Linked DNA regions of Neurospora crassa OR74A. The protein of the gene in region 2 purifies or fractionates together with the protein of the main gene of each other region. This does not show direct contact. Links are inferred from orthologs where the notes say so. Each region holds a gene or a part of one and is shown on either strand. Other genes may lie near its edges.

What was found.
Region 1: the proteins of NCU05232 (region 2) and NCU09673 purify together in Saccharomyces cerevisiae (affinity purification with mass spectrometry; 4 studies listed by BioGRID, with this or other methods). This does not show direct contact. The link is inferred for Neurospora crassa OR74A from reciprocal best matches to the Saccharomyces cerevisiae genes APL1 and APM4.
Region 3: the proteins of NCU05232 (region 2) and NCU07989 purify together in Saccharomyces cerevisiae (affinity purification with mass spectrometry; 3 studies listed by BioGRID, with this or other methods). This does not show direct contact. The link is inferred for Neurospora crassa OR74A from reciprocal best matches to the Saccharomyces cerevisiae genes APL1 and APS2.

The regions. Positions count from the first base shown.
Region 1 is NC_026505.1:874,936-878,685, forward strand, and holds the start of NCU09673 (AP-2 complex subunit mu-1), read left to right. Parts: upstream 1-1,487; 5' UTR 1,488-1,599; coding exon 1,600-1,936; intron 1,937-2,027; coding exon 2,028-2,997; intron 2,998-3,092; coding exon 3,093-3,099; 3' UTR 3,100-3,750. Other genes in the region: NCU09674 (O-methyltransferase family 3), read left to right, coding at 96-836. UniProt on the Saccharomyces cerevisiae protein: Component of the adaptor complexes which link clathrin to receptors in coated vesicles. Clathrin-associated protein complexes are believed to interact with the cytoplasmic tails of membrane proteins, leading to their selection and concentration.
Region 2 is NC_026504.1:5,672,828-5,676,577, forward strand, and holds the start of NCU05232 (AP-2 complex subunit beta), read right to left. Parts: upstream 2,500-3,750; 5' UTR 1,771-2,499; coding exon 1,726-1,770; intron 1,466-1,725; coding exon 1,205-1,465; intron 1,143-1,204; coding exon 778-1,142; intron 729-777; coding exon 1-728. Other genes in the region: NCU05231 (ER membrane DUF1077 domain-containing protein), read left to right, coding at 2,919-3,059, 3,120-3,472, 3,530-3,608. UniProt on the Saccharomyces cerevisiae protein: Adaptins are components of the adaptor complexes which link clathrin to receptors in coated vesicles. Clathrin-associated protein complexes are believed to interact with the cytoplasmic tails of membrane proteins, leading to their selection and concentration.
Region 3 is NC_026504.1:3,822,700-3,826,427, reverse strand, and holds NCU07989 (AP-2 complex subunit sigma), read right to left. Parts: upstream 2,659-3,728; 5' UTR 2,065-2,658; coding exon 2,033-2,064; intron 1,877-2,032; coding exon 1,807-1,876; intron 1,730-1,806; coding exon 1,400-1,729; 3' UTR 613-1,399; downstream 1-612. Other genes in the region: NCU07990 (hypothetical protein), read left to right, coding at 1-304; NCU07988 (ATPase family AAA domain-containing protein 1), read left to right, coding at 3,118-3,177, 3,242-3,728. UniProt on the Saccharomyces cerevisiae protein: Component of the adaptor complexes which link clathrin to receptors in coated vesicles. Clathrin-associated protein complexes are believed to interact with the cytoplasmic tails of membrane proteins, leading to their selection and concentration.

The DNA.
Region 1 (3,750 bases), on a different chromosome or scaffold from region 2:
TTCATCAAGCCCGCCCCCCCCCCCCCCCGCCGCCGAGACGCCCTTCACCACCACAATCACTTTTAGCACCACAAACACTACATCTCACTATCAAAATGTCTACCGGCAACTTCAAATTCGAAAACAAGGGCCACAACTGGGTCCAAAACGACGTTTGGACCGCCGTCGACGGCTACACCATGGGCCAGCTCCACCCCTCCAGCAAGCCCAACGCCTCAGCCCTCCAAAACGCCCTTGATGCCTCTAAAGCCGCCGGCCTGCCCGACATCTCGGCCTCTCCGGCTCAGAGCAAGTTCATGGCTCTCCAGTGCCGCGTCTTGGGCGTCACACACGCCCTCGAGGTCGGCACTTTGGGCGGCTACTCGGCCATCTGGCTCGCCAGCGAGAACCCGCAAATGAAGCTTACCACTGTGGAGTTTGACCCCCACCACGTTGAGGTGGCGCGCAAGAACATTGAGTACGCGGGTTTGTCGGACAGAATCGAGGTTATTCAGGGATCAGGATTGGAGGTGTTGAACCAGCTGAAGAAGGAGATCGAAGAGGGCAAGAGGCCCAAGTTCGGCTTCTTCTTTATCGATGCCGATAAGCCAAATAACCTCAACTACTTCAACTTGGCGGTGGAAATGGCGCTGCCCAAGGCCATGATTTGCGTGGACAACGTGGTGCGCGGAGGCAGGCTGATTGATCAGAGCTTGACGGAGCCCAGGGAGACGGCGGGCAGGATTCTGGTCGAGGGAGTGGCCAAGGACACGAGGGTTGAGTCGGTGGTCATGCAGACTGTGGGCGAGAAGAGCTACGATGGATGTCTTTGGGCCATCTTGAAGACAGATGCTTGAAATACCTACCTATAATTGGGAGTTGAAGTGTACGATGTTATGAGTCATGACAGTGGTGGGGGACTTATCAAGCACTCGATTAAATAGTATGCTGCAATGAAAAGGAACCGTTACATGTCGCCTTGAAAATTCCTGAAGCTCCAAATAATGAAGTGGTCGTAGGTGGGATGAAGCAGGATGTCGTGCTCCTCAGATGTCGTATTGCCCATCCTTTTTCCCCTTGGCGCAGAGTTGTAGACGTGCTCCTTGTTTATTGTTAGTGCCACGAAAAGGGGCTTCGTTGTCAAAGTACCTCGTTGCTTGGTGCAGAGCGCAGTGCGTGTGTCACTAACAATTTTCCATCAGGCCTCGCTGCTGTGTTTCCTAAACGCTTAGGGCAGGAGTAAGGTATGATGTACCTACCTTGCTCGGTTATTGCCTGCCGTAGGGTGCGACAGGACGGAGACTGGCACACAGCTCAGAGCGGCAGGCTCCTCTCCCCAGCAGGGCACCCATGTCGCGCGCCCCCGTAGCGTCCACCATCCCCTGAAGAGCCGCCGTTCAGGTGGCACTAGTCGGGGCGCTCAACACCTAGGTACAGCACACGCAGGTACCTAGTAATGGGGTGTAGAGAGAGGTAGACGCGGGTTGCTGTTCCTGACCGCCCGCCGCCTTTGACATTGAAACTTGCCCGCCCGTGTCTGCCGTCGCCGCCCGTCGCCAACTCGACTTGCAACTCTCAATCATTACCTTCCTTCTTCTCCCCCCGACGACACCCGTCACGATGCTGTCCGGGATCCTCATCTTCAACCAAAAGGGCGAGAACCTCATCTTCCGAGCCTTCCGCAATGACTGCCGCCCACGACTGGCGGACGTGTTCCGCATCCAGGTCATCAGCAACGCCCAGGTCCGATCCCCTATCTTGACCCTCGGCAGCACCACCTTCAGCCATGTCAAGCACGAGAACATCTACCTGGTCGCCATCACCCGTAGTAACGCCAATGCCGCCCTGGTCTTCGAGTTCCTCTACCGCTTGATCCAGCTGGGTCGCGGCTACTTTGGCAAGTTTGACGAGGAGGCCGTCAAGAACAACTTTGTCCTGGTCTACGAGCTCCTGGATGGTATGTCCCACCTACGGTAGCCCCCCTTTTTGGTGTTTCTAGATGGCGGCTTGCAACTAACCTCAACTCTATGTCCGCCGCGCCCTTACAGAAATCATCGACTTTGGTTATCCCCAAAACACCGAGACCGACACTCTCAAGATGTACATCACAACCGAAGGCGTCAAGTCGGAGCGCGCCGTCGAGGACTCCGCCAAGATCACCATGCAAGCTACTGGCGCTTTATCCTGGCGCAAGGCCGATGTCAAGTACCGCAAGAACGAAGCCTTTGTCGACGTAATCGAAGATGTCAACCTGCTCATGAGCGCAACCGGCTCCGTCCTGCGCGCCGACGTCAACGGCCAGATCATCATGCGCGCCTACCTCAGCGGCACGCCCGAGTGCAAGTTCGGTCTCAACGACCGCCTCCTACTCGACCAGGACGGACTCATGAGCCTGCCCAGCGGCAACAGGATGGGGAGCAAGGCGACCAAGGCCGCGGCCGGCAGCGTCACGCTCGAAGATTGCCAATTCCACCAGTGCGTCAAGCTGGGCAAGTTTGACAGTGACCGCATCATCAGCTTCATTCCGCCCGACGGCGAGTTCGAGCTGATGAGGTACCGCGCAACCGAGAACGTCAACCTGCCGTTCAAGGTGCACGCCATTGTCAACGAGGTGGGCAAGACAAAGGTGGAATACAGCATCGGTGTGCGCGCCAACTTTGGATCCAAGTTATTTGCGACCAACGTGGTCGTCAAGATTCCCACGCCGCTCAACACGGCCAGGATCACGGAGCGCTGTACCCAGGGCAAGGCCAAGTACGAGCCGTCCGAGAACGTGATTGTGTGGAAGATTGGTCGCTTTGCTGGACAGAGCGAGTTTGTGCTGAGCGCCGAGGCCGAGCTTACGAGCATGACAAACCAGAAGGCTTGGAGCAGGCCGCCACTCAGTATGAACTTTAGCTTGCTGATGTTTACCAGCTCTGGCTTGCTGGTTCGCTATCTTAAGGTGTTCGAAAAGAGCAACTACTCGAGTGTGAAGTGGGTGAGGTATATGACAAGGGCAGGAAGCTACGAGATTAGGTAGGTTGCCGTTCTTTTCGTTTTTTTGTTCTTCTTCTCCGATTTCTTTGCTGTCTCCTTTACCGGCGCAATGCATTTCGCTAATACTTTCACAGGTTCTAAATTATTGTATAATACGTAATGGCGTGCGCCACCGACTACACACCCTATCCGGTTAATGCACGGGCCATCCTACCACCTACGGCATATAATAGCACGGCGTCTGGGCGTTACTAGTTACACGAAGGGAAGCATCAGGCGATTGATACCAGAGTAATAAAATCAACTTATACAAGGAGATGTCCCAAAGGGGGAACAAGGGTCACAACAACGTTACGACGAGCACAAAACGACGAAAAGCTCTTCGCCAGTGTATGGGACAGGCACGATAATACGTGGCACGCGTGGCAGTGAGCTATAGGACATGGGGCCGTGCGATATGGAGAGCTAAACTTCAAGCGATAGGATATGTCGCCAATCAGCTTTGTATGAAACTACCAGACCATGGGTGCTGGTGAAGGGAATGGTCTGGAACAGCACCAGGGGAATGGCTTGTCCGATGATAGAAAGAGACACGGGAAAAATGTTTTGAACTCATCTCCTGTTGTCCTGTTAATACGATCGAGCATGGCTGAAACGGGAATGTGCTTACATAGTAACAGGTCCCTCGAGAGGCCTGATACCGGTGGCCTTGGACTGGAGTTGGCCGCCTACTTAGCACCCAGGACCTTGCGAACCAACGAACTTGAACTCCGGATTTTTCTGCGCTTTTTG
Region 2 (3,750 bases):
CGATACGCGAGGCGTACTGGCCAATGACCCACACCATGGCTGCTTTGGCTTCGGGCTCGTCGAGCGAGTCCAGGTGCTCGCAGAGGGTGCCGATAATGGACTCGTACTGGTTCGGGTACTTGCGGAAGATGTTGCGGATCACTACCGTGGCTTCTTGCACGATGTAGGTGACCTTTGTGGAGACCAACTCGAGCAGCAGGTTGATGCATCGCTTGGCCGCTGGCTCAATCTTAATGGCCAGTTTGCCGATGGCGCGGACAGCCTTGCGGACAAAGTGGACGTCGATTTCGGTGGCGTACTCGCGGAGTTCCGTCAAGACCTCGTCAATGTTCTTCTCATTGGCGAGCATGAAGATGAGTTCGAGCTTGGTGACCTTGACGTAGATGGGGTCGTTGTACTTGCAGAAGAAGACGCGGATGTCGTTGCGGAGGACTTCGGGGCGGCGTTGGAGGATGAGGAGGGCGTTGCGCAGGGCGAGGTATTGCACTTCGGGACCCTTGGCGAGGAGGGTGACCAGTGGTGGGGAGAGTTTCCGGCAGAGGGCCGAGATTTGCTTTTGGTCGGAGATGTAGTTCATGAGGTAAAGGATCACACGGATACAGGTGAGGACTACCGACGAGTTGGAATGTGAGAGGCGTGGGGCAATACGCTCGGCGAGAAGGAGAGCTTCGCCGGATTCTTGGGGGATATAAGACATGAGGGCTTCGAGGATGTAGGTTTGGCCCCATCTGCTTGCTATCAGTAGACCGTACTTGTGTTGCAAGGGGGATAACCTACTCGGAGCAGTCGGCCAGAATGGCAACCATCTTGGAGGCATTGCTGTAGTCGATAGTGAGTTTGATAGCATCACTCCTCTCCCAGATATCCATCAAGCTCGCCAGGGCACTGGCCACCACTGTCGGGTTGTCGTCTCTCAAGAGGTTGTTGAGTCTGTCAATAAGGTCCGAAGCCTCAACCATGTGTCGATCGTGATCGTAGAGCTTGGCCACGCAGAAAGCCGCCGTCTTGCGAACGTAGGGGTCGATATCGCGGAGGAGGTGCTTGACTAGTGGCACAGTAGCCTCGACGAACTCGCGCACGTGGATATAAGACATGGTCCGTAGGGCAAGGGCGCGCACCAGGGGGTTTGGATCTTCCATGTCCTGGTCTTTGTCAGTGACTGGCTATATCGCACAAAAAAAGGTGGACGTGGTTGGTGACTTACATGTTCCAGAACCGGAATTGCTTTTACCGCAATCTCTGGCTTCATCCTCGCATAGTTGACCAGATACAAGAAGCACATCTTTTTAATTTCCAAGCTCTGGATGGCCATGCAGGCGACAATATCGGGAAACAAACCGACCATGTCATTGTTACTCATGGTCATGTTGGCGACAATCTTCTTGAGGGCAATCTTCTTTTGGGTAAAGTTCTTGTCCTTCTTGCTGCCGCTGTTCAGCTCGAGGCGTAGCTCAGCTACTTTGCCCTGTCGAGTCTGTGGTAAGCTAATGTTCGGCGGGATAGGGTATGCGACAAACATGGTGGCGGTGGTCATTGCGGTCATCAAGGTTCGCGATGTTGAGGAGAAACAAACAAGCAAGCAAGGGAGGGGGGGGGGGGATACAGGAAGGAAGCTGAGCTGGGGTGGTGGATGGGAGGAGGGGTGGTGGTGGTGGTGGTGGTGGTAGACAAAGCAACGGCATATCCCGAGCAGCGTAACATGTGTAATGATATATTTCATCTTACCCTCGCGAACAGCTTGGAGTCTCCTCCTCCTTGTGCGGCCGACATGTTGTTGTTGGCTGCTTGTAGAGTATAGTATTATCGTCCACAACCTCCTCACAGCTATTCCTGTTTTGGTCGATTCGAACCCGGTGCCGAGGAATGCTTGCGATGCAACGAAAATAGGTTCGATATCGACAAAATGGACGAATGGCAAACGAGCTCGGCGCGGGCGTAAGGTGTGGTGGGTGGTGTGCTAGGCAAGGAAAATGCCCCTCTGGCTCTGGAACACAATTATATGTTTTGTGATTATCGTCGAGTCGAGAACAGCCAACCAATGTAACAACAAGCAGGTGAAACAGGGTGTCACAGGCACTCTTTCTGCTGCTTGTCCTCCTCTTTATTTTGTAACTTGGAGGTTGAGGCAGATAATCCAATGTCCGTCGCGAAGAAGTTCCCGAGTGCTGGAGTACTAATGGAGATAATTGTCGTCGAAGAAGGATCGCGATGTTCGTCGTCGTCGTCGTCGTCGTCGTCCTTGTCGTCGTCACTCTCTCGGTAGGCTCGGTGAAGATCTGTTCCGGCGCAAAGTACCCTCCACTTTCTGTTGTCGCTGTACTGTACGTAGTTGATCGGGATGAAACAGCTTCTAGGTACGGTAGTCTTCAGCCAAAACTCCAACGAGCCAGACAGACAACGGAAAAGATGATGTTTAGTTCAAATCTTGACTCGCCGGGGGGGGTAACGATGGAAAATAATACGGGTTCAATTCTGTTCACCGGTCAGGTTGGGGCGTCCCCTGAACCGTCGGGTCGATTAATTACGGCACCTCCTGGTCAGCGATCGCGGACCCTGCAGACCTGGACCTGCCGCTTTGGTGCCGTCAACACTGAACGCCCACTGGACGACGCCCTTCTGCCAGTGAACGACTGGCACGCTTCAGTGGAGCTCGGTAGCATCATCAACAGCGCACGGTCCCCACCACTCGGCGGCCAGCGTGGGGAAGCGGCTCAACTAAGTGTAGTGGGGCCCTGCGGTGTCTCAGAGACCGAACGGGAAGTGGAAGTCAGGGACGGGCAGCTACCTTAGCGAAGCACGGACTCCATCACGTACACTACACTACACTACACGTTGGGCGTCATCGCAATCCAGCTTCCACCTACTTCCCATTACCAATACCTTCACTTTCTATAGACGATACATTCACAAAGCCCGCCATGACTGACCTCAAACCCGTTGTCGACCCCGCCCCCAGATGGGTAACCGACCTCGCCAACCCACCGCCTTACAAGTCCAAGCCTGCCAGCATCCCCGATCCCCCAGGCTACTCGTCGCAAGCCGTATCTGGTTCTTCCAAGGCAAGCAACTTCCCATTACCACGAATCATAGCCCCCTCGCTGACATGTTTACCCCTACAGAAGAAGGATGTCTCCCGCCCCGCCCCCCGCGAACAACCCTCCCCCGAAAAGATGGACCAGCTCAAGCTCAAAAAGGCCTGGGAAGTCGCCCTCGCGCCCGCCAAGAACCTGCCCATGACGCTCATCATGATGTACATGTCCGGCAACTCGCTCCAGATCTTCAGCATCATGATGGTGTTTATGGCCTTCAAGAACCCCATCATGGGCTTGTTGTCGACCAACCAGGCCTTTGAGCGATTCGAGACGGACAGCAACCGGGGGTCTATTCTGCAGGTGAAGGCGGCCTATGTGCTTATGCAGGTGTTGGCGCTGGCGGTGGGTGTGTGGAAGATTAATAGTATGGGACTGCTACCGTCAGTTTTATCCTTGGGGAGAGTGTGGTGAAACGAAGGCTAACGTGGTGAATACAGGACAACGAGATCCGACTGGCTTGCTTGGGAAGTGCGCAGGGAACCGCTGGAACATGCTGTACCAGCATTGTCGTTATGAGACCTCGAACTTGATGGACGATGGTAGAGGGAGACTGAGTCTCAACTTCGCGGATACTATACACGTTCGAAATATGCATATCACAGCGATTGGTCTCTATACGGCAGCAACTTCTTTTGTAACCATTGGCTATGGATGTCGA
Region 3 (3,728 bases), about 1.9 Mb from region 2:
GCCTTCTATTGTGGCCACAGCTCGCTCGGAGACCCTCAGTTTGCCCAACACAGTCAACTTGACTTCGGCTGAGAGCGCTGATATCGTCCGCAAAGTCAAGCCTGGGCATGGGGCCACAGTACATGACCATGAAAATTGCACGCCAATGGAGGGCGCAGAGGAGATTGGAGACAATAGCAAATCTGAGACGGCCATCAAGGACGTGATTCACGTTGAAGCGGACCTTGAACCTGTTGAGGTTACGATTTCTCAGCCTGAAGATCAAGTGGACGTCACAGTCTTCGAGGGGTCGAAGGCGCAGTAGTGTCTGCACTTGACTCCAGGCCAGTCTGTTGACAGGTTGGCAAGATATGCTACGGACTTACTTGGATCATGGCGTCAAATACCTCTTATGGTCTCGTTTCACGATTCGATACAGATTGCAAGCAAGCAAACAGTTGTTTAGAATTGAAACATCCCTTTGGTGCATGTCCAAGTCGACGAACGTCTCTCCATGGTCAAAGTTAATTCTGCAACTTTTTTTTGGTGACAACGGCAGGTAGATACCCGAATTTTTTTGCAGCGCAGGGTTCACTTCATGGCGAGCACCACACAATAGTGTCAATACCGGCCATTGAGGCTCGCTTCGTTGCTGAGCTGCAGAGACGGTTCATTTATTTGCCACTGACGAAAACTTCATGCTTTGGAAGAGAACATCGGAAGCTTCTCAGGCAGAGTCGTGAAGGAACACCAATATTTCATAGAGCAATGCGTTTCGGATCTCGCGACGCGGTGTCTTTGTAAGATTAGTTGATCGATTACTCTAAGTATAAGCTCAGAAGCCCTGATATATAAGGGGCTGTTGGTGTGGTAGAATAGGCAGCTTGCTTGTTCAGTGTTTGCTGAACATGTTCCTGCCCCTTATGTGTGATATGGGTATATGTAACCACCTCTTCGCGTCCTTCTCTCTTGTCATCCCTTTTCGATGCTTGGATAGTCGGTGATCGTTTCTCTCATTGGAAGTGTGGACGGCAGGGGTTGACGTCTACTAACCCAAAGCTTTCCCGTCCGAGGGTCGTGGTCATGTAAGGTCCAGCCAGCTCAGCTCTGTGTTGATGGGGTCGAGGGTCTGGGTCGTTCGAACGATTCCGGCAGAAGGTCAGACCTCGTTACTGCACCCGTATGTTCGGCTGGAATTGCCGAGAGCCGTCCAAGTGCGGAAGTCAGTATTCGTCGTCGTCCATCCCAAGCCCCTGGTTGATATTTTGGTGTGTCGGTCGGTCGGCCGGTCGGTCGCGGTTCGTCAGTCAGCCGCCCCCCGCCCCCCTTTTTTTTCCGCATTCATCCACCCCCCTTGGCTCCTAGCCCCTTATCCGTTTCGCCCTTTTCTTCCCTTCCAACGCCTTATTTCCTTCCGTCATCACTCCAGCTTATCCAAATGCTCCAACCTCGTCAAGACAACCTGTTTACTCGTCTCCTCAATCTCGCCCGCCAAGAACACCTCGTCCAGGATGGCGTACACCTTGTAAAAATTGAAGACCAAGTCCAGCTCGCACACGTTGCCGAAGAAGCTGTCCAGCACTTCGACAAAGAAATGGATGGCCTCCAAATAGGCTAGCTCGTTGTCGTTCGTGTCGACGCAGGCGCAAAAGAACAGGCCCGCGTATCGTCGGTACACGACCTTGTGGTTGCGGAACTCGACGAAGTTGGATTGGTATTTTTGGTCGCGGGGGGCTACTAGGCGGTGGATCTGGGGGATGTGAAGAATTTAGAAGGGGAGGTTAAGTAAGGGGGAAGGGAAGGGGGGAGAGGGAAAACTGGACATACCTCGCCTTTGAGCTTGATCTTTTCTTCGTCGCTGTAGGGGACATACCACTTTGCTAGACGGGTTTTACCCCTTTGTTTGGTGGTGTTAGTCTATCGAGTTTGCGACAATGGACTTTTAGATATGTATGTGTATGGTGTATGGTGTGGCACATCTGCTATATGATGTTGCGACTTTGCGACACATGATGCGCTTGTATGTAGTAGAAGAGGAGGTAAGGGTACGTACTGTCGGTTCTGGATGAGAATGAAAGACAACATGGCTGCAAATTATACTTTTGCGACAACAGCGAGGCGGGCGGCCGTCTGAAAGTTGCCAAGTTGAAAAACAATACACAGAAAGTGTAAAGAGAACCAAACCGAACCGCGAATCCGCCGTTGCTTTATTGAACTGCCCGGCACTAGAACCGCGTGGTATTGGATCTCACATGCGACGTAAATCGATGTTCGTACAAAGGATCGACGGGAAGGGAAAAGATGGTGTTGTGTAAATGATTAGATACGGATTATGGAATTGCTAGCGGTGATGTCGAAGTCCTGCTGTCGTCCCTCTGGGATGAGCCGCGTCCATACGAGCCGCCCAGGGGTGAGTGGGGCCCGAGCTTTCCTTTCCGTCGTCCATCGAGGTGCTCGTTCACAGCGGCAGTGGAGGCGGAATGGAGGGAACCCTGGCTGATTTCCATCTGATGCGATCCGATAGGGGGCAACTCTTGGCACTTGTAGGAGCTTATCGATAGCAGCTGCGCTATCCGCCCAGGGCAGGCGCCGCGTCTTCACGTGTCGCAGTGCGACTGGAGTCGTTGTTTTGGCGCTTGGTTTCAGTGCGGTGCCGTTCCAGTTCGAGTCCAATCTTTGTCAGGTTCGATCGATCGAACGGAAGCAAGGGAGTCGGGACCATTCACTGTAATGGGGACAAGTGTGTGAGGTCTTGGCAAGATTGACAAGGTCAGGTCACATCGATTGTAGCCACTGGGGTGGCGCCCCATTCTCTGGGCCGAACGCAGTGCACATGGCAAGCTGAAGCCGAGGACCACCGTTCGAGGGGACCCATTTTCAACTTTTGATGATTCAGTTCAAGTTCCCATCCTCCATCAGTCACGTCCATTGACTTGGACGCGAACAACAACTACTGCTGCTGCCCGGTGCATGCCGTTCGCTTCGTTGCATTAGCCCTTGTTTCTCTATACATCTTGTATCCTCTTACCAGTCCTCCGATCACGACGTCCACGACAAAAGAGCCCTCAACTCTTGGATGCGACCCGCGGGCTGTCAACTCCCCTCCCGACCCGGCCAGGGCTCACTCTTCAAGTCAAAATGACCGATAATAAGCGTGTGGCCAAGGACATCATGTCCGGGCTACTACTAGCTGCTACCGTACGGGCCCTGCTAATCGCGATGCAATGCGCCCACCACAATCTGCTGACACTTTGCTCTCCAGACAATATCCGTATACTTCATCTTCCGTGACTACGTCGCCCCCCACGTCGCAAAGCTCATCGACCCCGACCGTGCTAAGCACGACCAAAACAGGCTGAAAGCTCAACAAAATCTGGCCAGGATACAAAAGTCACGAGACAAATCCAAAGTTGCCAACGACGAGTTCGCCGACGATGAGGTCCCCGAAGACTCACCCTCCACCGTGCGGGTTGAGGACCTCATTCTCAACGAGTACGAGAGCCAGGTAGCGCTGGAAGTAGTTGCGCCCGAGGACATCCCGGTTGGGTTCGACGATATCGGCGGTCTAGACGAGATTATTGAGGAGGTCAGGGAAGCCATCATTTACCCGCTCACGATGCCGCAGCTCTATTCGCATGGCGGCACGCTACTGTCCGCGCCTTCGGGCGTCTTGCTATATGGCCCTCCTGGCTGCGGAAAGACCATGCTGGCCAAAGCTGTGGCGCACGAGAGCGGCGCCTCGTTCATCA